Linked DNA regions of Rhinolophus ferrumequinum. The protein of the gene in region 2 interacts with the protein of the main gene of each other region in a pairwise test. Links are inferred from orthologs where the notes say so. Each region holds a gene or a part of one and is shown on either strand. Other genes may lie near its edges.

Region 1 (6,830 bases), on a different chromosome or scaffold from region 2:
CAATTTTACAATGGAGGTGAGTACCTCACTTACCTCATCCTAGCCTCTCCTTGCATCACATGCCAGTTGAGGAAGATAATAAACTCACTAAAAAGTAAAATATACAAATGGGGTAAATGCCACTGAGAAAAACAGAATAGACAAGGGGGAGGGCAAGACATACGAAAGCGATAAATATTTGTGGAAAGAATGAATGAAAGACTTGTTTTCTTTCTGATTTCCCAGAGTTCCTCTCTCCAGAGTCAGGAGGGGTTCCGAGGATAGAGGATAAGTAACCCCCCCTTGAAGAAATTCAAGACTCTCAGATGCTATGGTTCTGAGCGTCTAGTATTGAAGCCAGACTGATTGGGAGCCAACCCCAGCGGTGCCAAGTCGACTGTGTGACTTCAGGCAAGGATCTTATCTTCTTAGAACCTCAGTTTCCCCACCAAAAAAAAGAAACCAACAATAATAGCTTGGGGGACCAGGGGTCACCAGGAGGCAGGGCCTGGTCTAGGTCAGACGCTCCACCAGGAGGGGCCCCGGACCCACCCCCTACTCCAAAGTCTCCTGTGGCTCCCGTGACTAGTGGCTTCCGATGAAGGGCTGCCTCTGTCTTTTCCCCCAACCTGGACCAGATTCCCAAGAGTCCAACAGCGACTCCAAGGTCACAACACCTGTTGCCCACTTGGCATCTAGCCCAGAAATGTCAGTCCAGCCCGATCCCCCCAGAGAAGCCCTCAGAACCCCGTGGGCAGAAGGATCCCAAATGAGCCCTAAGTCTAACCCGTGGAGTTCTGGAGAAGATCAGACAGACGCCCAGAAGAACACCCGGAGGACGGTGTGGGGGAGAGGGAGGAGGGAGGTGATCCAGCCAAGGCTCCACGGGGCTGTGTCCCTGCTGCTAAGAGGCTGAAAAAGTGACCACCAGTTGCCCATCTGGGCCTCTGCGGCAAATTTAGATCTACCTAGATTAGAGACCGCGAGGTAGAGCAGAAAGACCTGAATTGGATTCTCTGCAAGACCTCGCCAGGCTAGGACACTTGTCCTTCTAATCCTCAGCGGTGTCATCTGTGAAATGAGGTACCACTGCCTCCCACAGGTACAACGCCAAGAGGACGCACACAGAAGGCGCTCGATGAAAGGAACCGCCCCACCCCCACCCCCAGGCCCAGGCTCGCGCCCCAAACCACCCGCGCCCTCACCTGGAGCCGGCTATAGGCGAGTCCCGGCTCCTTCACTGCGGTTCTTGGAGAGGCTGACAGCTCAGACCCCGGCGGGGAATGGCTGTGACCAAAGCAGCTCGGGGGGCCCAGCCTCACGTGGGAGCCCGCAGGGAACTGTTCCGAGATGCTCTCCGCACCCGATTTGAGCGGGGGGAATCTGAGTGTCCTAAGGCCTCCACCGGAGCGAAGGTCCTGCAGCGCAGAGGAAGGGGAAGTAGGCATGACGTTCCTCCCCCCTATCACCGGAATGGTTTGCCCCGGACATCCTGATTGGTTCCTCGCTTCCGTTCGAACGCCGCGCCGCCCGGGTTGCCAGGCGACCGTTTAGCTTCGTTTCCGGAGGTGAGCGCTGCGCCTGGGCATCCGCCCCTCCCTGCGCCTTTGCGCTGGCCTCCTGTTCTTCCGGCGGGCACTGTAGTCCCGATGCCTAGTTGCTCAGATAGGACTTTCTCCCGGTCCCCAGCTGGATGAGGCTCACTTTAGGGTCCCCGGGTGTTTCCTATTCCCGGTTTTCCAGCTAACTCGTTGTATGTGCCCAGGGAAGCCCTTTTCCCTCTCACTTCCAATAAATAGGTTGGTTTTAAAATCCAGCACTCCCGAAATTTACTAAGGAAATGATCGAAGATATGAGCAAAGATTACTATAACCCAGCGTTATTTATCATAGCAAAATAATGGAAATAACCTCAATGCTTAGCGAAAGGGGATTGGTTACATAAAACCATTCTGGGGAAGAGCTAGGTTTACTGAGCTTTTTACATGCCAAGTAAAAAATATCATTTTCATGATATAACCCTTGTCAGTGTTCATGGCATAACCCTTTGAGATGGATACCTTTAATTATCCCCATTTTCTGACGAAGAATATTATGAAGCCATTAAAAATTATATAGTTAAAAGATATTTAAAGTATGGGTGAAATGCTACGGAAATATTAGGTTTTTTAAAAGTATGTCTCAAAGTACTGTGTACAACATAAATATGTATTAAACACAGTCATAATACCATATGTACATATGTATAATCATTTATAATAACAGCAGTTAATTTTTTCATTGTGCTTTTATGGATTTTTTCCAATATTTAAACATGCCAAGAAAAAAAAAAAACATTTTTTAAGAGGATTAGAATAAACTAACTCGAAGGGCTCTTCGAAATGAGGACATTTCATTGCTGAGTCACTGTTTGGGTCTAGGGCATTGCTCAATTTACAACCAGCCTCTGTTTTCTATTCCAGCTAGTGTCTTTCAAATTATTGGATTGGATTGGATTGCCGATGATTGAGCACTTACTGTGTACATGCCTTGGACAAATGCAGGAGGAGGACGAGTAATATATCAATAGCTAACAATGACTGTGCAGTCTGGCGTGTAAATGTGCAAGATTTGTTTGGCAGTAAGGAAAGGCAGGGAGGATCCTGTGATCCTAAAAGACACAGATAAAACTCAGCAGGGGCAGATGCCAACTTTGTATTTCCTGAGGCTTATACAATTTAGGGAGACTTACTTAAGAAAGGAACTATAAAATTAGGTAATAAACTGATTATTTGGTTAGAAAGATCAAAGAAACCACAACAAATGATAAGTTCCACAAAGATTACAAAATCCAGAAAAAGAACATTACTTTTATGAATTACCTGTTTGACATACCTCCATCAGACTTTCCATGAACAAGTAAGACCATTCGTACATGTCGGATATGCCTCTACACCTTCTTGTCACAGTGCCAGCGGAGTAAGCTCGGTGAGCTAAGTAGGTGTATCTCGGGAAGCCATTCCTATACCTTGACTAAACCTCAGAATCCTCTGACCCAGATCTCCAAAATGCTAGCTAGCCCTCGCTCCATCATCATCTGACACAAGGGGAAGTAAGAGTGGAAGGAGATGGTAGTTTTATCAGAGTGAGGTTAAAATGTCTTGATTTGGCAGATTTTACAAAGGCATATGACCATGTGAACACACTGCTAGGGTGCCTCCCAGACCTCAGCTTCTCAGTGTTTGTGTCAGGAATGACGACATTGGTGCAGTGGTTAGATTCTTCTCTGTGATCTACACCTGTAATCAGGGGTTGGGAGATACTTGAGATGCCTGGGTAAAGGGCCTGCTGACCCATACAGCTTCAAAGCTTGCCTTTGCCCTGTGTGCCCTGGAGCTTAAAACAAAACAACATAAAAATGCTGAGCCTCATTCCAGATTAAGAAAGTGAGACAAACAGAGGGCAGAAGGAACTTCCCTTGGACTCCAAATGAGGCCACATGAAGAGAGGTCATTTGGGCACACTCAGATTCTAGAACTCTGAGCATCTTCACCTGCCAACAGCATATTGGTGATGTCTCCTGTCTTCAATGATTTGTTGAGTACTTGTTACGAATTCAGAGTGATTGAGAACATTCCAGGCCTGCCCCTTCCCCGCAGTGTAGGGGTGGGGAGGAAGAGCCCATAAGAATAAGAAGGTGGACAAGCTGTCATTAGTGTGCCCAGATCAGAGGGAGCTGACGATCCTATGACCACATCCTGACTCAGCATGTGAGCGACAATAACATCCTGCCCTGTAGACAGGCCTGAGGCTGTTTCAGTGCCTCCTCCAGTATCCTGACCTTGGCAGTATTTTCTCCACTCAGTTCAAAACCGAGAGGAAATCAGCCTCAGATGTCAGCTCCCTATCTTCTATGCACCCCATGGCTGTATGTTGTTTTATTTCAGTTAATTTAAAGGATGTTCTCTCTATGTGTATTTGCTTGCATCTGAACTTTTCTCGAAGGATCTACCAGAAACTGGTCCTAGTGGTGGCTACTGGGCTGACTAGGGCACAAGCAAAGAAGAAAAGCTTTTTAGAAAATATTTTTTATACAGTTTGGATTCTGTACCTTAATGTACGATCTATTTTTAAAAAATAACATTTTTAAGGATATTCTATGAGAGAACAAAATAAGGGCGTGAATTAAAAGACATCTCAGCCCAACTATGTCCCTCCAAACACGGCAGGTGAGGAGGTCAACTGGAATGTTGTGGGGACAGAGTCCCAGAGAGCAATTTCCAGGCGCTTGGCCTCACGTGGAAAGGTGCTGGCTCGGTTATTAGATGGCCATCAGCTGTAATCAGATGGCCATCCGCTGTGGCTGGGTGGCCATCAGCTGTTACCGGTTAGCCATTAGCCACTAATACAACTGCCGTGGCTACTCTAGGGGGGTTGGTTGGTTGGCAGAGAAGCAGACAGCAGATTGCTGCTAGCAAGTGCGGTTAGCAAGCAGATTGTGGATTGCAGGTTGTGTTGATCCTACTTCCTATGTCTCGCCGGGCCGCCAGCGAGACTGGGGTGCAGGAGGACCCCTCATCTAGGTACTGGTGGATGTTTGCTTTTGTGTCTTGACCAGCCATCATCGAGAATATAGTGGCATGACTCCCCTATCCATGGCTCCGTTGTTGTTCCTTTTTGGCCTCACCATATCCTGTGTTCTTGTGCGGGGAGTGGGAGCTGAGTCCCTGCATTACAGATGTCCTTTCAGGAGGGCAACATAGTCACATTTCTCAAAAAGTTTTGAGAAATTTTGTGCTGTATCAGTAGGCCTGTACTTCGATCTAGCAACTGTACTTTTAGAAATTGACCCTAACTATATAACGGAGGAGATTCAGAAAGATTTAACAAGATTATTTACTATAGCATTGCTATTAATAGTTAAAAAAAAAAAAGGGAAACAACCACAACCTAATTTCCTGGCCACAGGACAATGGGAATGGTGAATGCCACTGGAATGGAATACCATACAGCCATTAAAAATTATGTTTTTGAAAAATATTAAGTGATAGGGAAAGATTTTTTTAATATATCTCCCAATTCATTCATTTGTTCCCAATTCATTTATTTGTTCCAGAAATATTTTTGAGACCTACTATGTAGACACAAGCACATCTTTCTGGGCCTCAGTTTCCTCACCTGTAAAATGGGATTTACCCATGATTACTTCCCAGGTTTGTGAGAGGCACCACACCCTGACTTACCCTCAGCGCCTTATGGCTCTTTCTCTTTGCTTTCTCCACTGTCTCCGAAACATGTTCAACCCTGAAGCCCTGTGTCCTCACAACACTTACTAAACAGCTCACAGAAACAGTGAAAACACTGTTTCCAGAGAGTGGGTCTCCATGATGTGACAAGGGACACTTCCTCCTCTGCTAGCACCCCCTTTAAAACACAGGTGCTTCCACTCGGACCAGACTGCCCAAACACGGGAACGGTCTTTAGTCACCAGTTCTCCACAGTACATGACTCTCAAACCACCTCAATGCCTCCAGAGGGCCAGGTTCCCCCTGCCAAAGAATTAGGCCAGTTTACTATGGTCATATTCCAGATTTGAGGACATACTCTGCCAGCTCAGTCACACTGTGAGTCACCCCCCAGTTGCCAGGCTGTGTGGCCCTGGGCCAGGCCCTTCTTATCTCTGAGCCTCAATTTTTCCATCTGTACAATGGACACTCACTTTGAGTGGACGCAAGAAGGTGCCCCATATACACTACCCAGGGGGGTTCCTGGGTTTCAGTCCTTATAAAGAATTTGATTCTAAACCAGCAGGATCAGAGCAACCACAAGGCCCAAGATGTAATTGCTGAAAACTAGAGATTATGGGGCCCACTCCTCCTGAATTTCCAGGAAGAAGCATGCAGCCAGGAGACACAGCAGGGGAGGGCTCAGCTCAGGAGCACCGTGAGAGCCCAGCATCTGGAGGAGAGACTGTTCTGTGATGTGACCACTGGCTGTCCTGAAAGCTGGACCCTGCCCAGAATGGAGGTTGCTTTCTGCAAACCCCTCTTAAAGACAATCTGATCATAATTGATGTTCATTCTGACATCCCCTACTATGTGCTGTTTCCTGGAACAGGTTGTTGTCCTGACCTGGTCAAACACGTAATTTCCTTCCCTGGCAGAAGTCACGTACTCGAACCCGTGACTATTGCCCCCTTTAGGCGGAGATCCAGTTCATCTTGCAGCCATCCAAGACATGTCTGTCATGTAACTTTCCCTAAATAAACTCTATTAATAACCAAACTGGAGTGGCCAGCCTCCTTCTTCGGTCGTTCCCTCCCTCTCCTTAGGGAGGTAGATATTCAGACTTGGGGCTTTTCCCTGGGTCTGCAAGTACGAACAGCCCGTGCAGCCCCCACGCCTCCTCTCCCTACCCTATGCAGCCACCCCAGCAATATCCAGCTTCTTGGAGCTGCCCCCCCCACCACCAACCCGTTACTGCCTCCGGTGCCCTCTGCCTGCAATGCTCTTCCTGCACTTTCCTCTCCTGGCTCACTCCCCTGTGTCCTGTGCAAGTTTCTTCCCAAGAGCCTTCCCTGTCCCCTCCTCAGCTGAGCTGCGGGACCTTTTTCTGTGCTCCCACAGTGTCCTGGATTTCTCCTGTCATATCAAATTGTCTATTTACAGGTCCTCTCTCCCCACACAAGTGACAATGAGCACGTTAGGGATAGGTGGGATTGGCCGGCTCCATTTCCCACGCCCCAGTGCATACAGCAGGCACTCAGTTAACACTTGATGACAGAACTGAGAAAGAGCCCACAGATTGTCTCCCATACGTGGCCCCCAGTCCTCTCCTCCCGAGGGGCTTTCAGAGGCGCGGCGTGGTACAGGT
Region 2 (7,960 bases):
TAGTGATTTCCACCTTTATTACTCATTCTCTTGGTTACAATGAGGATTTTATCATACCCAGCAATTGCACCATCTCCAAAAATAACTTTATACTCACTCAGATACCCCTGTTGCAACAATTTTGGGGTCTCATTGAAACCTCCTATATATTGACCCCTCCATTTCTGTTCCTTCAACTTCTTCTGTCTCCATGTCCCCTCTTACCCAGCTTGGATTCTATAGTCCATCATTATAATTGCGCTCATCAAATAGTCTTTAACTCTCTCTTTTCTCTAGCTCACACGTTTCCAATTTTCCTTCTACCTATTTCACCACTATTTCTCAGACTTATTTGTTGGTTCTGACTCCCCTAACCAAGCTCTAAATATTAGAGTTACTTGATATTCTCTGTCCTGGGCTCTCTTCCCTTCTTGTTCTGCACTCTTTCAAGGTGGTTTCCTGTTTTACCACAGCTTTACGTACCATCTATATGCGGACGTCCTCTTTCCAGCCTACATCAACTTCTAAGTTCCAGATTCCTATGTCCAACTGTCTGTGTGGCATCTCCACTCGCCCCCACATCCAATGAATCACCACATCCAGGTTATTTTTTATCTCCACAGCATATGCTGACGCTGTTCATTTCTCTCCCCCCCCCCGCCCACTGCCTCTCCATCATTCTCTGGGACCACTGCCGTAGCCTTCTCCCCATTATCCATGTCCTCGGCTCGCTCAGTTCATTCTCTGCAGAGCCACCAGACTGATATTTTCAAAATAAGATGAAGCTATGTCTTGTTTAAACCTCTTAATGGCTTCTAATTATTTACAGGGTGAAGTTCAACATTTCTAACATTATCTCCAAGAGCCTACGTGTTTGGGCCCATATCTGCCTCTTCAATCCCATCTCGCCTACCTGGATCCAGTTGTATTGGCTTTCTCTCTGTTTAACACAGCAACTAACTTCCTTTCTCAGGACTTTTCCATATGCTCTTTACTCTTCATCGAACATTCTTCTTCAGAACCCGTCCTTCATATTCCCCTCACCCAGTTCACTTAGCTAAGTTACCTATCCTTCAATTCTCAATTATTAGTAGGTGACTTCTTCAGAGAACTCCCCCAGTCTAGGTTCGGTTCCCCGCTTATATGCTCTCATAGCACCTTGTATTTTCATTTATAGTAATTATCACAGTTGTTATTTTATTGTTGTTGGAGGGGTTACTTAACTTCTGTCTCCCAACCTAGTGGAATATAGTATCTAGTGTAATGCTTGACCCACTCAGTAAATATTTTTGAATGAATGAATGTTAACTTTAATAGCTGAACTAGGAACCCTTAAAACAGGAACAAGATTCTTTGGAGGCATCATTATTTCCCTCTATCCTTCTTCTTCCTCTCACTGTATATATTTCTTCTTTCAGATGCCAAATGCCAGCGAATACTCCCGTCCATAGAATAATGAACGAAGCAATAAAACTCCCCCCACCCTAGGGACAGATTTGCCAAGTCTCTAACCATTAATGTTGTCCTATAGTTCCTGTGAAGTTGAAAGTATAGGCAGTCGTGTTATTACATTTGGAGGAAGTTAGGAAAGATCAAATCTGATGGGAAAAACCAGCAATCTGAGAGACCTTGGTTCTGAGGTAGCCTGGTTGCAAACCCAAAGAAAAGAAAGGTATTTCTTTGGACAGAGCTATCTTTAGTGGATTTGCCATAGATGAATTCCTCATTTTGCCATAGATTAAAGGAAAGACCAGACAGATCACAACCCCAATACCTAGTGACTGAACCATCAAAAGGATCAGCATATTAGGGCAAAGGCCAGTCCGCTCACTCTGTAGATCAACTATTGGAAACTGACTCCTCTGCTACATTCCTTTCCACCCTCCTGTGCCTGGTTTTTAATTCTATCGCCCAGTTATCATTTAGTGTACTGATAACATAGTATAGGTACCCTTTGACCCAAATAGCTAGTTACAAGGAGGCTATATTCAAGTTCAATCTCATCACCCCTCTGCCCTGCACCTCACCTTGTAAGCAGCAATAGCATCTTTCTGCATGTTCCTCAGGGCCTGAAGTTCCTTCAGGGTTGCCTCCAGTTGACCCTGGTAGATGGTAAGCTCCTCCTGGGAATACCACGTGGAATTAACCCACACTGACTTGGGAGAAGGGCCATAAGAGATATCTCCCCCAAAGCCCCAGTGTCAGAAAAAAAGCCAACTCTTGCTGCAAAAGTCTTTCCTTTCCCCTGTATCACAGTTCCTGTCTCTTCCAAGAATTGTGAAGAAAATTACAAGCAGCAGAAACATTTAGTTTGTTTTACCTTCTTAGTTAACTACAGGGGTTTGAGAAAGGCAAGAGAACTCTATATATTTTCTACCCTAGTTAGACTGTTCTCACAATACCTTCACTTACATTGTTTTCATTTAGAGCACTTATTTCTTCCTTTTGCCCATCCAAATCCAAATTATTTCCCAGTTCAAACTTTTTCACCATACATCCTCTGACTATTTCAGTTTTCTCCAATCTTTTCTGAAATTCTAAACATTTATGAATTACTAATGTGACAAAATTATGCTCTCAATTGTAGACTATCTTATATTACTTCCATTGTGTTATTCATTTTGACTAAATCTCAAGACTTTTAGAACCAGAACAATATCTTATATGTCCATATTCTACACAGTGTCTAGTCTAGCAGAGTGCTGTCACGGCAAGGTTTAAGTAAATATTTGATTGATTGAAGGAGTAGGCCACAGGTCCTCCACTGCTCCTCTCCTACAATCAGCAATTCTAGAGAAAGAACATTGCAAGATACGTTGTATTTTCTGAGCACTCTGAGCTTTCTAATAATCATCTGAATAAAGGGGTGGGACTGGAAGAAAGAATATTCCCCTCCCCCCAGCTTCCCTAAGGGATTGTTCAAAGCCCAGGGCTCACTCACCATGAAGAAACAAACAGCATCAGAGATCTGCAGGAACTCTTTAGACTGCCCCACAGACAACCTAACATCTTTGCACTGGAAGCAGATCAGTTTCCCATCTGGCTTACTGAACAGTTTCAGGTTCTCTCCATGCTCTGGGCACTGTGGATGGCCCTTGAGTAGGGGTAGCTTCTTCATCTTCTCTGCCAGCTTCTCCAGTGCAAGGTTGAATGTACAGTTGCTATATTGACATATCATCTTACATTCAGGACAGAATGTTTCCTTTGCTTGCTGCTTCCAAAAGTTTTGAATGCAGGCCTGGCAGAAGTTGTGGCCACAGGTTAGCATCAGTGGATCCTGGAACCAGTCATTACACAGAGGACAGTGTAGCTCCGTAGTAATATCTTGTATCTGCACTTTAGAGGGTATCTGGGTGATCAAATCATTCACTTCAATGTGGTTGCCTGGGTCAATGTTTGCGGAGGGTTTGGGAGATACCTTTGGAAAACAACAGCTAAAATAAGTTCTCTTTCTAGCTGTCCGTTTCAGCACTTCAGGTTAGTGGGCTCCATTCCTAAAGGAGCTGAGAATTGGTGCAGCCAAAGTAGAAGCACCATAATCTCTTCTTTGAAATTGATCCAATAAATTCAGTGCTTTCTAACATCATCGTTTCTTATTACTCCCGACACTATTTAAACTTTAACAGAGTACTCAACCAAAGAAATGTATTTTGTTGTACATCCATCCCTCCACCCCTTTCCCCATGTGTCAGTTGCAAGTTTTGCTTTCAACTTCTGTTCTCCTAGTTACTACTACCTTTGTGTTTGACTTTATTTTCTGGAATTCATGTACAAAGAATTGGAAGATCAATCAGATTCCTCAGTCAATGGCACAATATCCCCAACTATAAAATCATCCAGGTCCTCCCCCCTCCTTTGTAAAAAACACATTACACAAATAACATATATACAGAAAAATACGGAATCTTAATTATTGCTTAATTATACAGCTCAATGATTTCCAATACTATACATTAATTTTGCCTGTTTTTGAATTTTATATAAATGCAACCATGCAATATGTACTCTTTTGTTGCTGGCTTCTTTTGTTCAACATTACAGTTGTGAGATTCATCCGTATTGTTCTATGTAATTGCAGTCCATTCATCCTTATTGCTGTATAGTATAAATGTGTAAATATACCATCATTTATTTTTCCATTCTACTGTTGATATACTTTTGGGTATTTACTAGTTTGGGACTTACAAATAGTGTTGCTAGGAATATTCCTGTTTATATTCTTTGGTGAATACACACACACACACACACACACACACACACACACACACACACACACTTCTCTTGGGTGTATAACTAGGAGTGGGTCATAGGATTAGCATATATTCAGTTTAGTAGATATTGCCAAACTTTTTCTAAGTGGTCATATCAATTTACAATACCACCAGTGTTGTGCCATATGTTTGTCAACACTTAGTATAAGTATATTCATTTAGCCATCCTGGTGGGTATGCAGTAGGATTGCATTGTGGCTTTAATCTGCATTTGTCAGATGACTATGAATATTGGGACCATTTTCATATATTAATTGTCCATTTGCATTTCCCCTCTTGTGAAGTGCCCATACAAGGCGTATATTTTATTGTTGAGTTGTCTTTATTCACAGGAGTTCTTCACTTATTCTAGATATGAGTTCTTTATCAGGTACACATATTGCAAATATGTATTTCCACTCTGTGGATTGCCTTTTCACTTACTTAGTGATATCTTTTAGTGAACACAAGTTTTTTAAATTATTATTTGAACTTTTTTTATTTTTAAGCATAATGCAAATGCAGAAAGCAGCATGAAAAAAGTGTATAGACTATTGAATTATTAATGATGAACAACCATGAAAGGAGATAGAACCTTGCCAGCTACCCCGTAAGTCTTCCATGTACTCCCTACCACCTAACTGCCCCTTCCCCTACTCCTGAGACAATCACTATCTTGAATTCTGTTAATCATTTCTTTTTCCGCCTTTGTTTTGATGTTTATGTAAACAAAAATCATATTTTATGTATTTGTGCCTTGCTTTCTTTGCTCACCATGAGTTTTGAGATTCATCTATATTGATGAACATAGCTGAAGTTCATCCACTTTCATTGCTAAATAACATTTTACTGATGAAAATGTATTTATCCATTTTACTGTTGATAACCAATTGGTTGTTTTGGTGTTTTGCCATACAACCAATGCTACTATGAACATTCTTCCACGTGTTTCCTGGTATATATGCAAGAATTTTTCTAGGTTATTTAATGTTATTTCTAGGTTATTTATTGTTAAGCCATCCTTTCTTTCCTGGAATTATTCCATCTTGATCATGATATATTATCTTATTCACATATTGCTGGATTTGGTTTGGTAATATTTTATTTGGGATTCAACCTTTATGTTCATAAAAGATACATACAAGAATGTTTTTTATTTTACATACGTAGAAGATAGCTTTTTATTTTTTTTCCTTAAACTATCTTTGTCTGTGTTTTTTTTTTTTAACCTAAGTTATACTAGTTACATAAAAATAATGGGAGGAATGTGCCTTCTTTTTCTCTTCTCTGAATTTGTGTAAAAAATAGAATTATCTTTTCTTTAAGTATCACCAGCAAAACCTCTGGGATTAATGTTTTGTTTTTAAATCTTGTTTTATTTGGAAGTACTGATTTACTTCTTGAATAGTTATAAGTTTATTTAGATATTCTATATTTTCCTGAGACAGTTATGGTCATTTATGTTTTTCTAGGAATATATTTTGCCTAAGTTTGTGAATGTAAAGCTGCATTCTCTTATTGTCTTTTTATTATGAGATATATTATTCATACTCATGCATAATAAAAGTGTACAAAACATTTGTATACATTTTAAGTAATAATAACAAAGTAACACTTTGTAATTACCACCCAAGTTAAGAAATAAAACACTAACTACCAATACCTTAAATGGCCCCTGTGTGTTCTTCCCAATTGCATGTGTCTCACTTCTCATAGAGAGCAAATATCCTGCCTTTTGAGTTAAACATTCCTACACTTTTCTTTATTATTTTACCATCTGTGATTGTATCCCTAAACAATATAGTGTTTTGGGTTTTTTTCTGTTTTGAACTGTATGTACGTGGAATCATACTGCATGTATTTTCCTGTAATTTGTTTCTTTCTCTTAATATTATGTTTGTAAGATTAATCCGTGGAGAACCCATGTGGCTGTTCCTTTTCAATTATATATGGTATTTCATTGTTTGATATGCTACAATGTATATATCCAGTCTACTGTTCGTGGATATTTGTTTCAATTTTTCTGACCATTACACACAATGCTTTTTTTTTTTTTTAATTCAAGTTTTTGGGTGACAATGGTTAGCAAAGTTACATAGATTTCAGGTATACAATTCTGTAATACATCATCTATCTGTCACATTGTGTGTTCACCACCCAGAGTCAGTTCTCCTTCCCTCACCATATATTTGATCCCCTTTACCCTCATCTCCCACCCCCCTCCCCTCTTACCCTCTGGTAACCACTAAACTATTGTCTGTGTCTATGAGTTTTGTTTTTTCATTTGTTTTTCTTGTTCTTTTGTTGTTTTCAGTTGTATATACCACGTCAGTGAAATCTTATGGTTCTCTACTTTTTCTGTCTAACTTATTTCACTTAGCATTATAATCTCAAGATCCATCCATGTCACACACAATGCTTTTAATAACATTCTTGTATGTATCTTTTTGTGAATGTGTGTAAGAGTTTCTCTAGGGTCTCTACCAAGAAATAGAACAGCTAGATCATGAGATATACACCTGTTCACCTTTACTAGAAAATATGAAACTGTTTGCCAAAATGAATGTAGCAATTTACACTCTACTAGTCGAAGATGAGAATTTTGGTTGCTCTACATCCTCACCAACACTTATTCTTGTCATATTTTCTAATTTTTGCCAAACAAGCAGATGTGTAATGGTATTTCAATACAGCCTTTTTTAATTTGCATTTCTCCGATTATTAATGCACTTGAAGATTTTTTTCACATGTTTGTGGATCCTCTTTTGTTAAAGAAGAAATGTCTGTTTAAGCCCGTTGTTCATTTTTATAATGAGTTGTCTTTTTTTTTTTTTTAAGATTTTATTGGGGAAGGGGAACAGGACTTTATTGGGGAACAGTGTGTACTTCCAGGACTTTTTTCCAAATCAAGTTGTTGTCCTTTCAATCTTAGTTGTGGAGGGTGCAGCTCAGCTCCAGGTCCAGTTGCCGTTTCTAGTTGCAGGGGGCATAGCCCACCATCACTTGCAGGAGTCCAACCGGCAACCTTGTGGTTGAGAGGATGCGCTCCAACCAACTGAGCCATCCGGGAGGCAGCTCAGCTCAAGGTGCCATGTTCAATCTTAGTTGCAGGGGGCGGAGCCCACCATCCCTTGCGGGACTCGAGGAGTTGAACTGGCAACCTTTTGGTTGAGAGCCCACTGGCCCATGTGGGAATCGAACCGGCAGCCTTCAGGGTTAGGAGCATGGAGCTCTAACCGCCTGAGCCACCGGGCCGGCCCCTGTCTTTTTCTTTTTGATTCAAAGTAGTTCTCTATATATTCCAGACAATAGTTCTGTTTTGGTTATTTTGATATAAATATCTTCTCCCATCTCTTAGTGTATGGCTTGTCTTTTCACTCCCATTATAGTGTCTTCCCATAAAGAGAAGTTCTTAATTTTAGTGTAATTTAGTTTATAAATCTTTTCTATTTTCTATTTAGCCTAGATTAAAGATGTGTCCCTCCAGGGAATATTTGTGTTTATTCTTGGAGATACAAGTTACTACCCACGCTTCACCATTTTATGTCAATATTATTGGTTTCAAGTCTCCAGATCATAGAGGAATTACATATTTTAAGCCTAACCTTGTGTGAAGGCAAGCGTATGGTTAAAAATTCTCCAGGTAGACTCTTAAACTTATTTTTCACTCAGACCCCCAGATCAAAATAGTTAAGGTTCTTGGTTATCTCTCTTTACCACTCCTTCACTGT
Region 3 (7,941 bases), on a different chromosome or scaffold from region 2:
AGCAGCAAGCGCACAAACCATGAGGCAGGAAAGGATCAGTGCATTTGTAGACTAGAAGGGGGGCCAGCTGACTGGAAAGAAGGGAAGGAAGAGCAGATGAGTGGGAAAGAGAGGACCATGCCGGGCCTTGCAGAACTGGATTTAATTCTAAGTGCAATAGGAAGCCACTGGAGAGTTTTAAGTGAGAATGACATAATCTGAATTAAGATTTTATAAGATCACTCTGGCTGCTGTGTGGAGGGTGGACAGCCAGGCGCCTGTTGCAGTATTCCAGACAGGAAATCAATGATGGTTTGAATTAACGTGGTGGCAGCAGAGAAGAGAGCAAACGAGATTGGAGATATATTTTGGAAGTGGAGCTGACAGGGTATGCTAATGGAGTGGACACGGGGTCCAGAATGAGAGAGAAGAAATCAAGCACAATGCGTGGGTTTCTAGTTTAGGTGCCTGGTTGGATGGTGGAGTGAATTCCTGAGATGGAAGGAACAGCTTTGTGCGGGGGGCAATCTTGAGATGCCTATTAGACATCTGAGTTTACACTGCAAATAGGCAGATAGAGAGTCTGCACTGGAGGTATAAATCTGGGTGGAATTTAAAGCCCTGGGGCTGGATAACAGTGCCTTGGGAGGGCTAACAACTGAGCCAACACTTAGGGGACTCCATGGGAACCTGCAGGAGGGAGCAACTACCTGTGGGTGTCAGGGACAGCATGAGAGAGGAGATCATGGTGAAACCAGGGTCTTGAAAGATGAGTAGCTTGCCAAAGGAAGTAAAGGGAGATAATGTGGGAACAGTGAACAACATGTTCAAAGGCCTAGAGTCAAGCATAGTGGGAGCCCTGTCTGATTCACTGCTGTAACCTTAGGGCCCAGCACGCAGTACATGTTCAATAAATATTTGCTGAATGACTGGTGAGTTTAACCACTTACAGGCAGCTTGCTAAAGCTGAAGAAAACGTTGGTAGTGGGGGTAGGGACTGGAAGTGAGAGATGAGGATGTAGTGTGGAAGTTAGGAAATAGGTGACGTCACCATCTGCCTGGAGAAGGAGATGAAAGACTCATTAAAATAGTTGACGCCTGGGGAGGGACATGGTCAAAAAGGCATTTGAAAGAGTCCTCAGGCTGTGAATATGAGTGAAGGTGAGGTGGGGAGACCAGACTAGAGGCTGTGCAGAAAGCCAGGTGAGAGATGATGGGGGCCTGAAAAAAGGCAGGGGATGGTGCCTGGAGAGATTCAGCAGGACTGGACAGGACTTGGTGTGGGGCGTGACCAAGACAGGTGTCCCCACCCCGGCAGCGTACGTGTTGACATATTCACCTGCATATTGCTCTCCTGGGTTACAGCACAGTTGTCTGACCTTTTTGTGCTTCCCTGACTCAGGGGTTTAAACCAGGCAGAAAGCAGAAGGCCACAGCTCCTCCAGACTTTCGCTAAAAATCGAATCCTCCTCAAGGGGAAACGCCCCTTGTCCCTGGCCAGGGAGGGAAAAATAGGAGAGAAAATTCTAAAGGCTTCTTTGAGCCAGAGAAAAGAGAAGAGATCTCCATTACCCCCCACCGCCCCCTCAGACCTGTATGGCAGTTCCCTGGGAGGGTGACAAGTTCTCAGGGATATGTTTCCGGACTCAGCACCATGGTTGCCAGCGTGGGCAAAGAAGCTGTACCCTACGGATGATCCTGTGTGGTGCTGGGGCTTCTAGGGACCGCTGCCTTTCTATAAGGAGTGGTCTGGAAGTAATTTCCGGGGGCGGGGGCGGGGAGTGTCAGTAATCTCTGACGTGAAGTTTGCCTGTCAAATCCTGCAGAAATAGGGGCTCCAGTCTGAATTAAGTTCTGTTTAACAAATAAAGACATAGCTATTCCTTGCACACCCACACCCAATTATACAAGGGTGACGCCTGGGGTGTCTGGCTTGGGAAATGAGTGGTGCCAGTCCTGGAGGCAGGGAACCGGGAACACAGAGTTCTGTTTGGGACTTGCTGACTGAGGTATCGGTGGCACGTCCAGGTAGAGGTTGAGCAGCAGTAGGACAGATGGACCACCCGGAACTCAGCTCAGAGGTCTGGGCTGGAGGCTTAAGTTTGAAGGCCATCGGTTTGCAGACGATACTGAAAGCCATGATGAGAGTGAAGTGGACAGGATGGCCAGAGAGGATGAGTTGGGCGGGGAGGATAAAACGAGATGCAGAGGCGGGGGGAACGCAGCTCCTTTCCTAGACTATCTCGATCCCCACCGAGTCTCATCGCCCAGCCCGCAGGCGGCCGCCCGACCTCCAGCCTAGCGGGGGGCGCGTTAGAAGGGGGTGGTCCCGAGCAGAAGAGACCCCCAAAGCATGTCCTTTCCTGTGTTTCTTGAGCTCACATAGCAGTGCAGGGAAAGCGGAGGTAAAACCTGGCCCTGGGAAATCAGCGGTAGCGGATAACTGAGCGGTTCCAGCCGCCGCAGCGGCAGCCCGCGGCCCCCGGGGCGGTGGCGAGCCGCAGACCCCCACCTCCTGGCCGCCGCCTCCGTTCCCCTAGGTAAGCCGACGCGGAGGGGAGGGCGGAGGATCGTCTCCTAGACCTCCAGCGATTCCGTCTGGGGTCTCCTGCCGCCGCCCCCATCCTACGCCCGCCCCTCTCTTCGGGCATCCTCCGCGCCACCTCCGAATCAGACCCCCGCCCCTCGTCCTCCTCACCCCCGAGACCCCTCCTCTCCCCCGGCTCCGCCGCCCGGTACCGTCTCCTGGGGAGATGGTCTCGATCTCCACGCCCATCGCAGTCCCCCTGGCCCCGCCTCCGAGGGTCCCCGCTTCTGCCGCGACCCCGGTTTGGCTCCGGCCCCGCTGGCGCTCCGACTCGTCTCCCCGCCGCCACTGCAGAGCCGGAGGAGGTGCGGCGGGAGTCGGGACCTGCGCGGGGTGGGGCCACGGGGAAGGGGGCGACGGGGCGGAGCAGCACGGAAAGGTGGGGGCGGCCGGGGCGGGGCCCTGGGGAAGGGACCCTGGCCTGAAGCGGCTGCTCCGGAGCCTGACCAGGCTGAAGATCATTGACCCACTGATTGGGGAGAATGTTGAGGGAGGAATGCAGACACTCGCGCATGCACCCACTCACCCATCTATCCATCTGTTCAACCCTTATTTATCTTCTCTGGGGAATCCACGCGGTCTCACAGACTAGGGGAAGGCCAGCAACTAAACCAACTCTTTAATGAGATGTTCTCACTGCCATGAGGTTCAGAACGTTATGGAAGCACCAGAGAGGTACCTGCTTTGGCTGGGCTGCCCAGATCTGCAGGAGCAAGCTGGGAGATGGGGAGGGGTGGGGTGGGAGGGAAGAAAGGGTCATTGCTGACCCTTCTCCACCCACTATAAGCCTTTATGCACCATCCCAGGTAGCTCTGCCGCTTGCACAGGTGCGTTCCCACCTTCAAGGCAAAGAACTGCACCCTGGGGATACCAGTTGAATTAAGACAGAATCACTATCCTCAAGGAACCAAATCTGTGATGGAGAGGGACACAGTTACTACAAGGAGTAATTCTGCTGTGGGATGAATGCATGAGTGCCACCTTGAGTTCCTCCTCCACTCAAAAGAGATCCAGGAATCTGTAAAGAGTTTTGGAGGAAGTAGCATTTGCTTGAAGAATGAATGGGACTTTAAATTTCTTCTTTACATTTTTTTTTCTTTTCTAATCCTCCCCTGCATTGTGTGAAGGTATGATTCTAACAAGTGCCCCTGGAAGGTAGGCATGAGCAGAAAAGTCGAGCAAAGATGTCCAGAGTAGACCCTAAAGGTGTTCGTCCCATTTCCCTACCACAACTCTCCCAGGTGGTTAGGTCAGAGACTTCAGGTTATCAGCATCGCTGAAGGGGGATTGGCTGTGTTGTCCAAGAAAGATGATGATCAACTGTATTATGAGGGTCAGGACCTGAAATTCCCCATGGGCTGCTCCAAGGCGTGGCTCGGAGTCTCGTAGGAGTGTAACTTGCTCTTAAGAAGCCTAGTGACCCACTAGTCCATGGGCTATGGGCATGGGCAGGCACTTTGGGGGTACGTGTAGAACAGGGGTGTGTAACCGGGACAGGTCAATGGAGTGGCTTCAGTTGAATGCACAATACTTTGTGTACAGATAAGAACATTTTTCTGAGGAAATTTTGTATTTTAAAGAGGTCCTCGACTCCTTCCCATCCCCGACTCCTCCTCCCCTCAAAAAAGGGTTAAGAAACCGTGTTGACTCTAGGGCTCCTGTACTCCTTCTTAGAATAAGAGAACCAATGAGAAGTCGGGGAAATGCTAAACCTCTTAAAGGAGAAATTGTGGCTGGCTTACGGTCGGTGGAGTTTCATGGGGACTACAACTCCCAGAGATCTGTGCGGCAAAGCCCGAGCTTATTCGCCGGTGGGACGGACCCTCTCCTAACGTGACATGGCAAAAGCCAATAGATAGAGCGCATTGCCGAGCTGTCCCGACCACCGCTGACCTATCAGAGGCCTTGGAGTCGATGCTTCCGGTACCTGGTGTGGACTTCGGATCCGAAGTGGGTGAGTCTGGGCGTTTTCCGGGGAGTGTGATTTTCGGTGAGGCCGTAAGACCAAAGCTATTTTGTCCCCACTGCTGCCCAGCCTGGCGGGTGTAGGAAGTCTGTGGGTGAGCGGGGAGGCAGGTGGAGGGACCGGCACTTGGGGGAAGGATGGGAGACACCCAGGTGTGCGGAGAGTACGGAAGAATGATGAGGGGCCTGCGTGCGAGGGTTGGCGGGTGCGGAGGAGCCTGGGTGGGTTTAAACGACTCAATATATTCCCTGTGACTCATGAGTGGCACTTCTAGGAACATATTCTAAGGAAGCTATCCAACATGAAGGAAATGCATTATGCATAAAGACCTGTATCACAGCGTTATTCATAATAGGATAAAGTTGGCTACAACCAGATGTCTTAACAGTAAGGCAAAATAATGTAACTTCAATGAATATTAAGTGACCCCTAAAAATAATTTACAAAACTTTTAAATAATACGGGAAAATGCTAATATACAATGTTAAGTGAAAAAATCGTGATATGAAATTGTACGGTGTAATTTAAAAAGCTTAACCAAAAGTGCATAGAAAAAAGTCTGAGGGGATGTAGTCAAACCATCTTTGGATAGATGGTTTTTAACCTTTCTTGTGTGTTAGTTTTTTAAAGTAAATGTAAAGAACTTGTAATTATTTTACAGTGGAAACACAATAAACTTAGACAAGCAAGTTGGGGGGTACGTACCTCTGTTTAAAGCTACTGAGAGTGCTCCAATTCACCTAAGTTCCTTGATTCTCACCATGAGTTTTTAAAGAAGATTCAAAATAGAGGAATTAAATGATCATAGACTAAGCACCAGGTCTTGGTTCTGGTCACCTCTCCCCTGAACTGAGTGGGCTTTTCTCTCCCTAAAACACCTACGGCTCCTGATTTAAGTTTTCTTAAAGTCTAAGGGTTCAGAGACCAACAGGTATACTCTTAGCTTGGGGCAAAATGTAAATATTTTTAAAGATACAAAATAATTGGAGACCTAAAGGTCATTTCAACCTTTCTCCTCTTGGCTCTGTGATCTTTCACAGTGAGGCTGTCCACTCCTTTGGCTTTAATTTCTAAATCCTTGACCTCTGACTGCCTAAGGTACCTTCTTACCCTATAGACATTTTAAGTGAAGCACATCTAATAAATGTATCACACACTACACATCCTTCTTACCTTTGAAGCATGTGTTGCCTTGTATAACTGTTAAGCTGTAAATGGTTTAACAGTTTCCCATGAAAAAAATTTGGGTGTCATCCTTAATTTGTCTTCCTCATTACTCTCGTCCTACTCGATATCATTATTCCATTTGCCTTAGAAATAGAATAGCTCTTGAATCTGGCCTTCTTTCTCTACTCAAGTATCTACAAACCTGGCTCACTTTCTTATTATGACCATCAAACTGTTTCATGCCCCCTTATTAAAGTTGTTGCTTTTCTTCTTTCTTAGGTCTGTCCTGCACATTGTCACATGTATGTGTGCTGGTTCCCCCAAATTTCCCAGCAGTCCCTGTATGATCAGGGAGATAAGGTTGGAAATGTATGTCAATATCAGATAACATAAGGCCTTAAATGCCTTGTTAAGACGTTTTGAAAGAATTTTTTATAGGTAGACTGTGGAAGCTCATCCAAAAGTATTTGAGCGGAACAACAAAATGACCAGAACTGTGGTATCTTTTCAAAGATAATTCTGTCCAACCATGCATAGTATCCAGGCTCTGTGGGAAAGAAGAGACTGGTATCAAGAGGACCTCTCCTGGTCCTACCATAAGGGAGAGGTGGTCAGAACCTGGACCAGCAATGGAGGAGAAAGGATCAGAGCAAATTGTTGTAATTATCATTAAGTTTTTGAGAAAAATATGCCAAATTTCTTGTTACTAAAGATGAAAATACTAAAATTCTTCTAAAACTCCAGTAACCTTATATTTGTTTTTCCCTTATTCGTAAATCCTTATCCTATGCTATCCCTGGCCGTACACACCCTCAGTGACATTAGCCTGACTTGGGTGGCTTAACACATGTAAGATGCCTTTGATATAATTAGTGCATTAGGAATTTTCTCCACCCATGAAAATGTATCATGCATTATTTAGCAATGAAAGTCTTTCAAAAGTACATAGGTAGATATTAGGGGAAACCATATATTATCTAATATAAGACCAGTGGGATAGAGATGGCACTTTTCTTCATTAGTAATGACAGGGGACGTATTTCTGCATTTGCAAGCCAGTAGAGAACCAGTTAATCAGACATTTTGTTCAGGAGCATAGCAGACCGTTCTTCATAGTGAAAGATTCCAAGAGCAGGGACAAAGCTAGCAAAGAGGTATGTTAAGTTTGTAATGAATATGGACAGGGCTAATATCAGCTATAATGTAAAGCCTAACATATATTTGAATAGTGGTGTAGTTCAGCAAAGAAGCCAGGAGGAGAGATGCAGATCTGAGAGAAATAAACATAGATGACAATTGAAAACATGAAAGTAGGTGACATTGGAAGGAAGGAAAAGAGAAAAGTGATGAGAATTGAGTACTAAACTTTTTGGCTCTATCCACATCTAGATAAAAATTGGATACAAGCAGAGCCCATAGTATGTGTGTAGCCAGCACTCATTCATGTGACAATGTGCAGGATACAGGAAAGAGAGAAGAAAAGGGACCAATCATTGAATACATTATGATACATACATACTATGGGACACCTTGTTGCTACTAATGCAGCTACTTAAAAGATTGAGGCCGATCTATATTACTGACGTGGAAAGGTGCATATGATTTAAAATAAATTAGTGAATAATATGTAACATATGATCCCTGTGGTAATCGGTCATTTTTTGAAAACACCTTCGAAATTTGGGGAGACTCTCCTTTTGTGTGAGTCTTGGTGGGAGGCAGAACACATCCCCTATTACAGAAGCCTATTACAGGGAGGGGGAAACCCTCCCTTGTCCCCCTCCTGGCTGCTAAAGCAGAGGGTATGTGAGCTGGTCTCAGGTGGTGGGAGGCTTCCCCACTTTCTGAATTTTAAGCAATTGCCATCAAGTGAGGGGTCAGTGAAATTAGAGTCTCCCCTGCTGATGAGTGGAGAGAGGCCACAGTGGTTTATCGCCTCACTGCAGTCCTGCTGGTTTTCTGAGCTTGGTTCTTGAGACTTCTTTTTTTGCTTCAGTTAGCCAGAGTGGTTTCTGTTGTTAATACCCAGGAACTCTGACTTATACCCCATTTTTTGTTTAAAGGAAAAAATTTAGCATATATAAAATCCTTTTTGTGTGTGTGTGTCTGTTTTGAAACGGTTTCTCTAACAGTTTCAAAGGCTGCACACCAAATTGTTAACAGTGCTATTGTCATGAACTTGAGCTTTGGGGGGTGGTAGGGGGTGGTAAAGAGAGGTTGGCATAGGGTAAGAGGAAATATT
Region 4 (7,780 bases), on a different chromosome or scaffold from region 2:
GACGGAGCTCTCCCAGTCGATTCCTCAGGGGCGCTTACTCACCGCGGCCTCGAAGGCCCTCTTGAGGCTGGCCAGCTCATAGAGGACGCAGCCCAGAGCCCAGATGTCACTCTTCTGGTTGTAGGGCTTGCCCTCACACAGTTCGGGGGAGATGTAGCACGGAGTACCCACCACCTGCAAGAGGGAAGTTAATATTACAGCCCAGGGAGGGAAGACTGAGGCCCACGTGGAGACAGCTTCTCCCCAAAGCAGGCCAAAGTGCTTCCTCTTGCAGGACTACCCAGCCAGGGGCTACGGGCCCGAGGTCTTGGGGGGTGGGGTGAGAGATAGGCTTGCAGAGTGCACCTTGGCCCTCAAAACCTCCAGCACCCCTGAGGTCCCCTCCATGCCCAGGCACCGTGTAGGCCTTGCTCTTGCTGCTAAGGATCTTGGAGATTCCAAAGTCGCCAATTTTAACGACCATGCGGTGTTTGTCGAGAAGGATGTTTTGGGTCTTGAGGTCCCGGTGCAGGATGAGGTGGGTGTGCACATGATGCAGCGCGAGCAGGATCTGAACAAAGAAGTGCAGGATGGTCTCCTCCTCCAGCAAGGAGTTACAGCGCTTTTGGATGAACTCAGCCAGGGTGCCGCCTGCAGCCGCAAGGGACTAGTCAAGATCTAGGCTTTTCCAGGCCTGAGACTTTGCTTTTATAAAACTAAAGACCCAGACAGGGCCAGGGCCTGCCAGCATCACACTACTGGGGTCAGAACTCTACCCCTCTGACCCTCAGCCAAGCCCATTCCAAGGAAGGAAGCTGGCTGGTCTGTATCTGCCGCCTCACAGAGCTGACAGGCCCTTGGAGCCAGGCCGGTGCAAGGGGCCTGAGTCGGGCCCACCTGGTGCGTATTCCATGGCGATCATGAGAGCTTTGTCCTCCAGGAAGTTCTCGTAGTACTCAATGACATTGGGGTGGTTGAGCAGCTTGAGGACCTGGCACTCATTCTGCGCTGCCTGCCGCTCTTCCTTGGTCATCTGCTCCACCGGGATCTGCTTGATGATCACCAGCTTCTGGTCCGCCTTGCGCAGACACAGGTGTACAATCCTGAGGACACAGCGTACAGCAGTGGGTACCATCTGAGCTTCCAGCCACATGTCAGGTTGGGCAGACCTGACGACTGGATGGTGACTAGACTTAAAAGAGAGGGGACTGGCACCCAGACTAAGAGGTCATCTAACTAAGCGCACAGAACCCTGAGTTTCGGAATGGGGAGGACTAACCACAAACTCTGTAAGACCTTGAACAAATCATTTAACTTATTTGAGACTCAGTTTCTCTACAGCCACAATGAGGCAAAGTTAGGATTCATCTTTCTAAATTTCAACTGCCTGGGTTCACATCCTGGCTCTTCCTCTTACTAGTTATCTGGTCTTGGATTACGTGACATCATCATCCGAAAAATAGAACTGACCTCACAGGTTGTTGAGAGGATCAAATATGAAAATGCACGTAAGGCACTTAGCAAAGTGCCTGGCCCATCAAAAGTGCTCAATGAGTGGAAGCCATTCACATTATTATTTTCTTCCAAATCTGTGGTCAGTGTCCATAAAAGCAGGGTTCTTATTCTCCACTATATACCTAGTGCATAGCCTAGGATATGCCCCAGCACATGGCAGGAGCTCAGTAAGTATCTGCTGAATGAACAGACTATAAGATGACCATCTAAGTATCAACTTTGTATCTCTCCAGTTCAGGCCTCTCCTCTGAGCCCGACTCATATATCCAACTACGGTTTTGCATCTCTACCTGAATGGCTCACTAGCATCCTAATTTAACAAATTCAAAATATTAACAAAATTCTTGATTCCTGCCCCCAAAATCTTTCCTTCCTTAGTCTCTTCCATCTCAGCAAATAGTTATTAAAGCCAGACACCTGAAAATCATGGCAGAATCTTTCCTCCATTTCATACTAACACATCAGTAAATCCTGTTTCTACCTCCAAAATATTGTGAACCCATCCATTTTCCTCGGTGTCCTCTGCTATAACCGTTGGCCCAATCATCATTTCTAGCCTAAAATACTGCACTACCTTTCAAAATGGTCACTTTCATTCTTGTCAACCTCAAATCTAAACTCCACACAGCAGCCAGAGTGATATTTTTAAAATGCAAATCATATCAAGACCACATCCTCTGCTCAAACGGTTTTCTTTTACATGGCAAATAAATTCAACCTGAGCCTACAAGGCCAAAATCTGGTCCCTCCCTCACATTTTATAGCATTCTTCAGCTTGCTGGCTACATTCCAACTACACTAGTCTTTTTCTCAGTTCCTTGAATATTCTGAATTTTTTCCCCACGTGAGCATCTTCACTCACATATGCCGTTTCTTCCACCCGAAAAGCTCTGCCTTCACCTGTCTCAAGGGCTGATCCTCATTCCTCAAGCCTTGGCTTTATACCTCACCTCTCGGAGAAATTTCCCTCTACCACCCCAAATAATTATTTCCTTGGTGTTGTACCTTATTCTCGCAGCTTCTTAAATAACGGCTTTAACAGTGTGTTGTTTGTTGTATGTTTTTTCTATAGTCTGTAAGCTCCGAAAGGGAAAAGATCACACCTATTTTGGTCTTAACTGTATACCCATGGCCGAGAGCCTGACATGTAGAGTCGGCGCTCAATACCGGTTATCTGTTGAAGGAATGAGTACGGAATCAAACAGAACTGTGAGGGGCGCAAAGGTTTGCCGGGGTGTGACCTCCTTAGGGGCGGAGTCTCTAGGACTAGGACTGGGACCGGAAGCCTGGGCGGAGCTTCCCAGAGTCGGCATTCACGCCTTGGGGTTGGAGCTAACCCGGCAATAATTTCGCGGACAGAGTTGGGGTTTATTTTCCCTCTCCCCGAGCAATTGCCTCCCCCAAGAGCCCTGGCTCACCCAAAGGCACCTCTCCCCACCACTCGGATCTTCTCGTACTTCTCCATCTCATTTCCCAGTCGCATTTCCGGAACCCCCACACTCAGACGCTGCGCGTGCGCGGACCCGCCCACTCCAGAGCCACGCCCTTACACTGCAAAATAATTGCGGGGCGGAGCAAATGGAGCTGGGTGTTGGTTCAGCCTCGCGTCTCTCTGCTGATTGGCACCGTTCCTACAAACCTGGTCCGAAGGGTCGCTTTTCCAGGGTCCAAGGAAGAAATGGGACGACATGCCATTTCTTGGCGCGCTTCTCAATGGCCTGCACGTAATCAGCCACTTCTCACACCTGTGGCCGCATCCGGCCCTCGCAAAGCTTCATTAGACTGGAGGGGTGCCCTGCGCAGGCCGAGTGAGGGTGGGAAGCAGGGACATCCTTTTTCTGACCCCCGTTTTGGCCACTATTGACGCTGTTTCAGAAAGAGAGAGCAGATTCTCACTGGGATGCAGACTGAACTTGGAGCTTCAGCATCCTCACTCTGTGGGGTAGGGAGCAGGGTTAGTTTCGTATTTGCCTAGGGCGCAACAGGGAAAACCCCGACCTGCGCAAGTTGAATCACCTAGGGAGGATATGATACGGTCTCCAGACTGTCCCGACTAGTGAACACCGCGCTCGTCAGCACACGCAACCCCCAGCTGAACACACACAACCCACCGCGGGGTAATTTCCCTTCTAAGCTCAACTAGGGAGAACCTCCTTAGAGGAAGATGGGAGGAAAGTAGATCACTATCTGAAAGAGGGAGAGGAGGAACGGCAGCCGTTTGGCCGATAAGGGTTCAGGCTTCTGCCCAGAGGTAGGGGGCTAGTTAGTACGAGTGTTTAGGGTCTTGACAAGAAGTGAATTTAATTCCAGGTGTCTCCCTGGTACCTTCTGCTCTGCACGAGTCCACAAAAGCTCAGTTAAGGAGCAAGGGGGTGGTGATTAGCTAAGGGATAGCGTCCCTGTTTCCGAGTGGGTGAGGAATGTGAGGAATGAGGTGTTTATCTTTGCTCCCACCCCACCCTTCGAAAGAGTGCCCAAATCTGCCTATGTGGGATGACCACTAGAAGGGCCTCAGGAGGGCTCCTCGCAGGCTTAGGCCGGTGTTGGCTAGTAGACAAAGCTGCCCTGTGAGCAAAGGGGAGTGCAGAGGGGGAAAGCCGCTCATCCGGGACACTCGTGCTCTCACCTAGAAACCGATTGGGCCTTGGTTGACTCAGGATACCTCACGTGGGTTAATGTGTAACCTGGGAGCCACCAGGGGAGGCTGAGCAAACACCCAAACCTCTTAGTCCCTGGATCTCTGGCGCCTCAGGCTTCTGGCTTTTCCTCCCTCTCAAAGCACCTTTTACCTCGCGCCCCTCCTCCCCCTCCACTCCTCCTCCTCTTCCACTCCCGACTCGGCTCTTAGCCGCTCCGGGGTGCGCTGGCGTATGGCCTGCTAACCCGCAAAAACAACCACCTCATTCCTTTGGAGGCTGGAGGGGAATCCCACGCCACAGTGAGGACAGGCTGACACCTAGTGGCTAGAATATGCCACTACTCCAGGCCACTGGCCTGAAGAGTGAGGGTCACCCTAGCAGCCTGGACAAACGGGCGGTCTTCCTTGCTCCAGCCCTCCAAGGAGCTAGGAGAAGAGAGCTGGGACTGCCTGAGGGAGGATTGTGACAGCAGCTCGGCCCCAGGAGCTCAAGAGCGGGCTGGGAGGAGGGATGGTGATGGGTTAGTCAACAGTTTCTGGGAACCGACTATGTGCCGGGCGCGTAGAGGCAGGTAAGCACGTCCATCTCTAGTCTGAAGACGCTACGGTAGCGATCCAGTGGAAGAACGGGGTCTGGGCAGAAATTGTTGTCGGAGGCCGGGCTCCGATACGTCCCCAGGATCTGGGTTTAAAAGACGTGGGTGTGTGACGAATCCTGCCCAGCTCTGCCCAGAAAGGAGTTGAGGGCGGAGAGAGTTCTCGCAGTACCCGCCCAGGCGGGGGAGCCGGTGGCCCCGGGGAAAGAGGGGACGCGGGTTAATGAGGCCAAGCGAACCAGAGAGTCGGCAGTCGGGAGGCGCCAGCGAGGGGTACCTCCGTGGCGGTGCCCCAGGACTGCCCCCTTTCGCCCGAAGTCTGCGGGAGCCAGGCAAGACGCGGGAGGCCCCCCCCCCCGCCCCGGGAAATGGGGCTCGCGCCCTCCACGCAGCAAAGGCGCCCGAGGGGCGGGGGCAAGCGGACTGGGCGGGGCGGGGGCGCGGGCGACTAGGGGCGGGGGCAGAGGCCCTCTGGGAGGGAACGGGAGGAGCAAAGGGGCCTAGAGGGCTCCGCGAAAAACTGTGAGAGGCTGGCGGCCGGCGGGATAGGCGACCGGGGTGGACTGGCCCGAGAGGGAGCCCAGTTCCCCGTACAGCCCGAGGAGGCCGCCTAGAGGGCGGACAGACCGACGGCTGGGAGGGCCAGCATGCCCCCATTGCTACACCCCGCCCTGCCGCTGCTCCTCGGCGCCACGCTGACCTTCCGGGCGCTCCGGCGCGCGCTCTCTCGCCTGCCTCTCCCGGCGCACGTGCAAGCCGACCCTCTGCGCACCTGGCGTTGGCACAACCTGCTCGTCTCCTTCGCCCATTCCATTGTGTCAGGGATCTGGGCACTGCTGTGGTGAGTGAAGGACCGGGGTAGTGAAAGTGGCTAGGGGATCCCGCCGTTACTCTCCCCATCACGGGGGGCTGAGGTTATGCAGTCTCACATGATTACTTGTAACCAATCGGGAACTGCTTCGGCCCCAGGGGAAGAGGATCTCACCTGGGAAACGGGAGACACCTGGGTTTCAGCCAAACCCCTCCTCGGTTCCCAGTCCATAGTGGGAGCCCAGAACTCTCCTGGGACTGGCTTGGGTAATTGTGAGTTGAGGGTCCTTGGGAATGGGAAGATGAGTGGCTGCCTTCTTCCCTCCCTCCCCAGTGTATGGCAGACCCCCGAAATGCTGGTGGAGATTGAGACGGCATGGTCGCTTTCTGGCTATCTGCTCGTTTGCTTCTCCACAGGTAAGTCTTGCCCAATAAGTATTAAGAAGGTGGAGAACAGGGAGAAACTCCTTAAATCCCCTTCCTGACCTCTTCCCCCATCCCTCCACTAGGGTATTTCATCCACGACACAGTGGACATTGTGGTTAGTCGTCAGGCTCGAGCTTCTTGGGAATACCTCGTCCATCATGTCATGGTGAGAAGCAGGGGGTGTGGTATAGGTCTGGTGCTAGCAACTTCAGTCTCAGCTGTCTTGCTGAAACTGGGAAGGGGAAGACCAGCTTTTCTTAACCCCATTCCCATGGTGTCCTTTGCCTTCCCATGCTAGGATACTAAGGGTTGGCCCTACCTTTGTACCCTTGGTTCACTATCTTGAGGCCAGCAATCCATAGCCTCACCTAGTACCTCCTTAGACGATAAACTCCACGCAGGGATCAAAATTTAATGGTAGATTCACTCAATTGTATGCCAGCAGATGGGAAGGTTTTCTAGCCCTGTTTGGTAACCTTGATACTCCCACCAACTTCCAGTAAAGCCTTAGGGAATCTGTTTCCTAATCTGTTCTCTCCTTTGCCCTCTAGGCCATGGGTGCCTTTTTTTCAGGCATCTTTTGGAGCAAGTTTGTAGGTGGGGGCGTCCTCACGCTGCTGGTGGAGGTCAGCAACATCTTCCTCACCATCCGAATGATGATGAAGATCAACAATGCCCAGGACCTCCTCCTTTACCGGATCAACAAGTATGTCAACTTGGTCATGTATTTTCTCTTCCGCCTGGCCCCTCAGGCCTACCTCACCTATTTTTTCCTGCAATATGCAGGCCAGAGGACCCAGGGCACCTTTCTGCTGGGTATCCTGCTCATGCTGGACATTATGATTCTCATCTATTTTTCCCGCCTCCTCCGCTCTGATTTCTGCCCTGACCGTGTACCCAGCCAACAACACAAAGACAAATTCTTGACGGAGTAAGAGGCACAGAGCCTGGGACTTGTGGCAAGGACAAAAAACACAATCAAGGGAGAACAGCCCCACACATAAACTGAGATGAGCCCCAAACCTGGGGCATCCAGCCTCTCCACCTGTCAAGCCTGCACCCACTATTGAAAACACTAATGAAAACACTCTGAAGTCCTTGTCCTTTCTTGGGCAAGGGGTGAGCGAAGCAGACAGACCGGTTGGACATGGTAGGTGGGTGTGGGGACAAGGTGCTACGTGAGAGCCAGCCAACCCACACTGCCCTGAAATGGATGCTAATAAACTCTTGGTATTGGTTTCATACAAAGCCTCTTCGCCAGAGATAAAGTTAAGGGTTCTTATAAAACTTCTTGCTTGTTCTCTTACCCCTGTGATGGAGAGAAGTACTAGTTGTCTCAGGACAATCCTAGACTGAGTCACAAATATCTCCTATCTGAGCTCCCACCCACCAGGATTATAGCAAGTATAGTGCCATGATAGAGCTAAGTGTTCCAACAGGGTTATGTACACCAAGAGTCTTGTGTAAACCCTGTGTATTGTGTACAAGTATACCCAAGTATGGCCTCCCCCCAGCACAACCAGAAATCAACATAAAGAGACAAATATACAGTGAAAAAGTTTGTATTTAGAATTTGCCAGCTGGACTCAGTTTAGATGATCCCAATCTGAAAAACAAAAGGGAGCTTTGTTACTAGGAGTTGAAATGTGAAGATTAAGCTGGAATGTCATGGTTAAAAAGCAAAATGTGGGCACAGGGCAGGGCCTATTAAGGATAGGAGAGCAGTCTGTCAGTTATGACTAATCAGCAAAAGTCAGGCTTTGGTCGGAAACAGACACACCATGTGCAGCCAGCGGGTGGGTATTAAGGAGTTCCT

The links. The genes of interacting proteins can lie anywhere in the genome.
Region 1: the proteins of TRIM69 (region 2) and FAM110A interact in binary tests that used the Homo sapiens proteins (3 or more experiments, as listed by UniProt). The two-hybrid records come from large-scale screens. The link is inferred for Rhinolophus ferrumequinum from reciprocal best matches to the Homo sapiens genes TRIM69 and FAM110A.
Region 3: the proteins of TRIM69 (region 2) and FKBP1B interact in binary tests that used the Homo sapiens proteins (3 or more experiments, as listed by UniProt). The two-hybrid records come from large-scale screens. The link is inferred for Rhinolophus ferrumequinum from reciprocal best matches to the Homo sapiens genes TRIM69 and FKBP1B.
Region 4: the proteins of TRIM69 (region 2) and NEK8 interact in binary tests that used the Homo sapiens proteins (3 or more experiments, as listed by UniProt). The two-hybrid records come from large-scale screens. The link is inferred for Rhinolophus ferrumequinum from reciprocal best matches to the Homo sapiens genes TRIM69 and NEK8.

Annotation. Positions count from the first base shown.
Region 1 is NC_046306.1:23,653,011-23,659,840, reverse strand, and holds the start of FAM110A (protein FAM110A), read right to left. Parts: upstream 3,014-6,830; 5' UTR 2,887-3,013; coding exon 2,840-2,886; intron 1,409-2,839; exon of another isoform or gene 1,185-1,408; intron 1-1,184.
Region 2 is NC_046289.1:61,413,652-61,421,611, forward strand, and holds the start of TRIM69 (E3 ubiquitin-protein ligase TRIM69), read right to left. Parts: upstream 3,009-7,960; 5' UTR 2,924-3,008; coding exon 2,921-2,923; intron 2,103-2,920; coding exon 2,007-2,102; intron 1-2,006.
Region 3 is NC_046296.1:55,718,049-55,725,989, forward strand, and holds the start of FKBP1B (peptidyl-prolyl cis-trans isomerase FKBP1B), read right to left. Parts: upstream 3,014-7,941; 5' UTR 2,756-3,013; coding exon 2,719-2,755; intron 1-2,718. UniProt on the Homo sapiens protein: Has the potential to contribute to the immunosuppressive and toxic effects of FK506 and rapamycin. PPIases accelerate the folding of proteins. It catalyzes the cis-trans isomerization of proline imidic peptide bonds in oligopeptides.
Region 4 is NC_046304.1:18,737,024-18,744,803, forward strand, and holds the start of NEK8 (serine/threonine-protein kinase Nek8), read right to left. Parts: upstream 3,014-7,780; 5' UTR 2,978-3,013; coding exon 2,913-2,977; intron 2,678-2,912; exon of another isoform or gene 2,500-2,677; intron 2,477-2,499; exon of another isoform or gene 1,947-2,476; coding exon of another isoform or gene 1,912-1,946; intron 1,083-1,911; coding exon 877-1,082; intron 631-876; coding exon 398-630; intron 175-397; coding exon 43-174; intron 1-42. Other genes in the region: TLCD1 (TLC domain-containing protein 1), read left to right, coding at 5,376-5,569, 5,873-5,955, 6,048-6,130, 6,516-6,899; RPL23A (60S ribosomal protein L23a), read right to left, coding at 7,556-7,570. UniProt on the Homo sapiens protein: Required for renal tubular integrity. May regulate local cytoskeletal structure in kidney tubule epithelial cells. May regulate ciliary biogenesis through targeting of proteins to the cilia.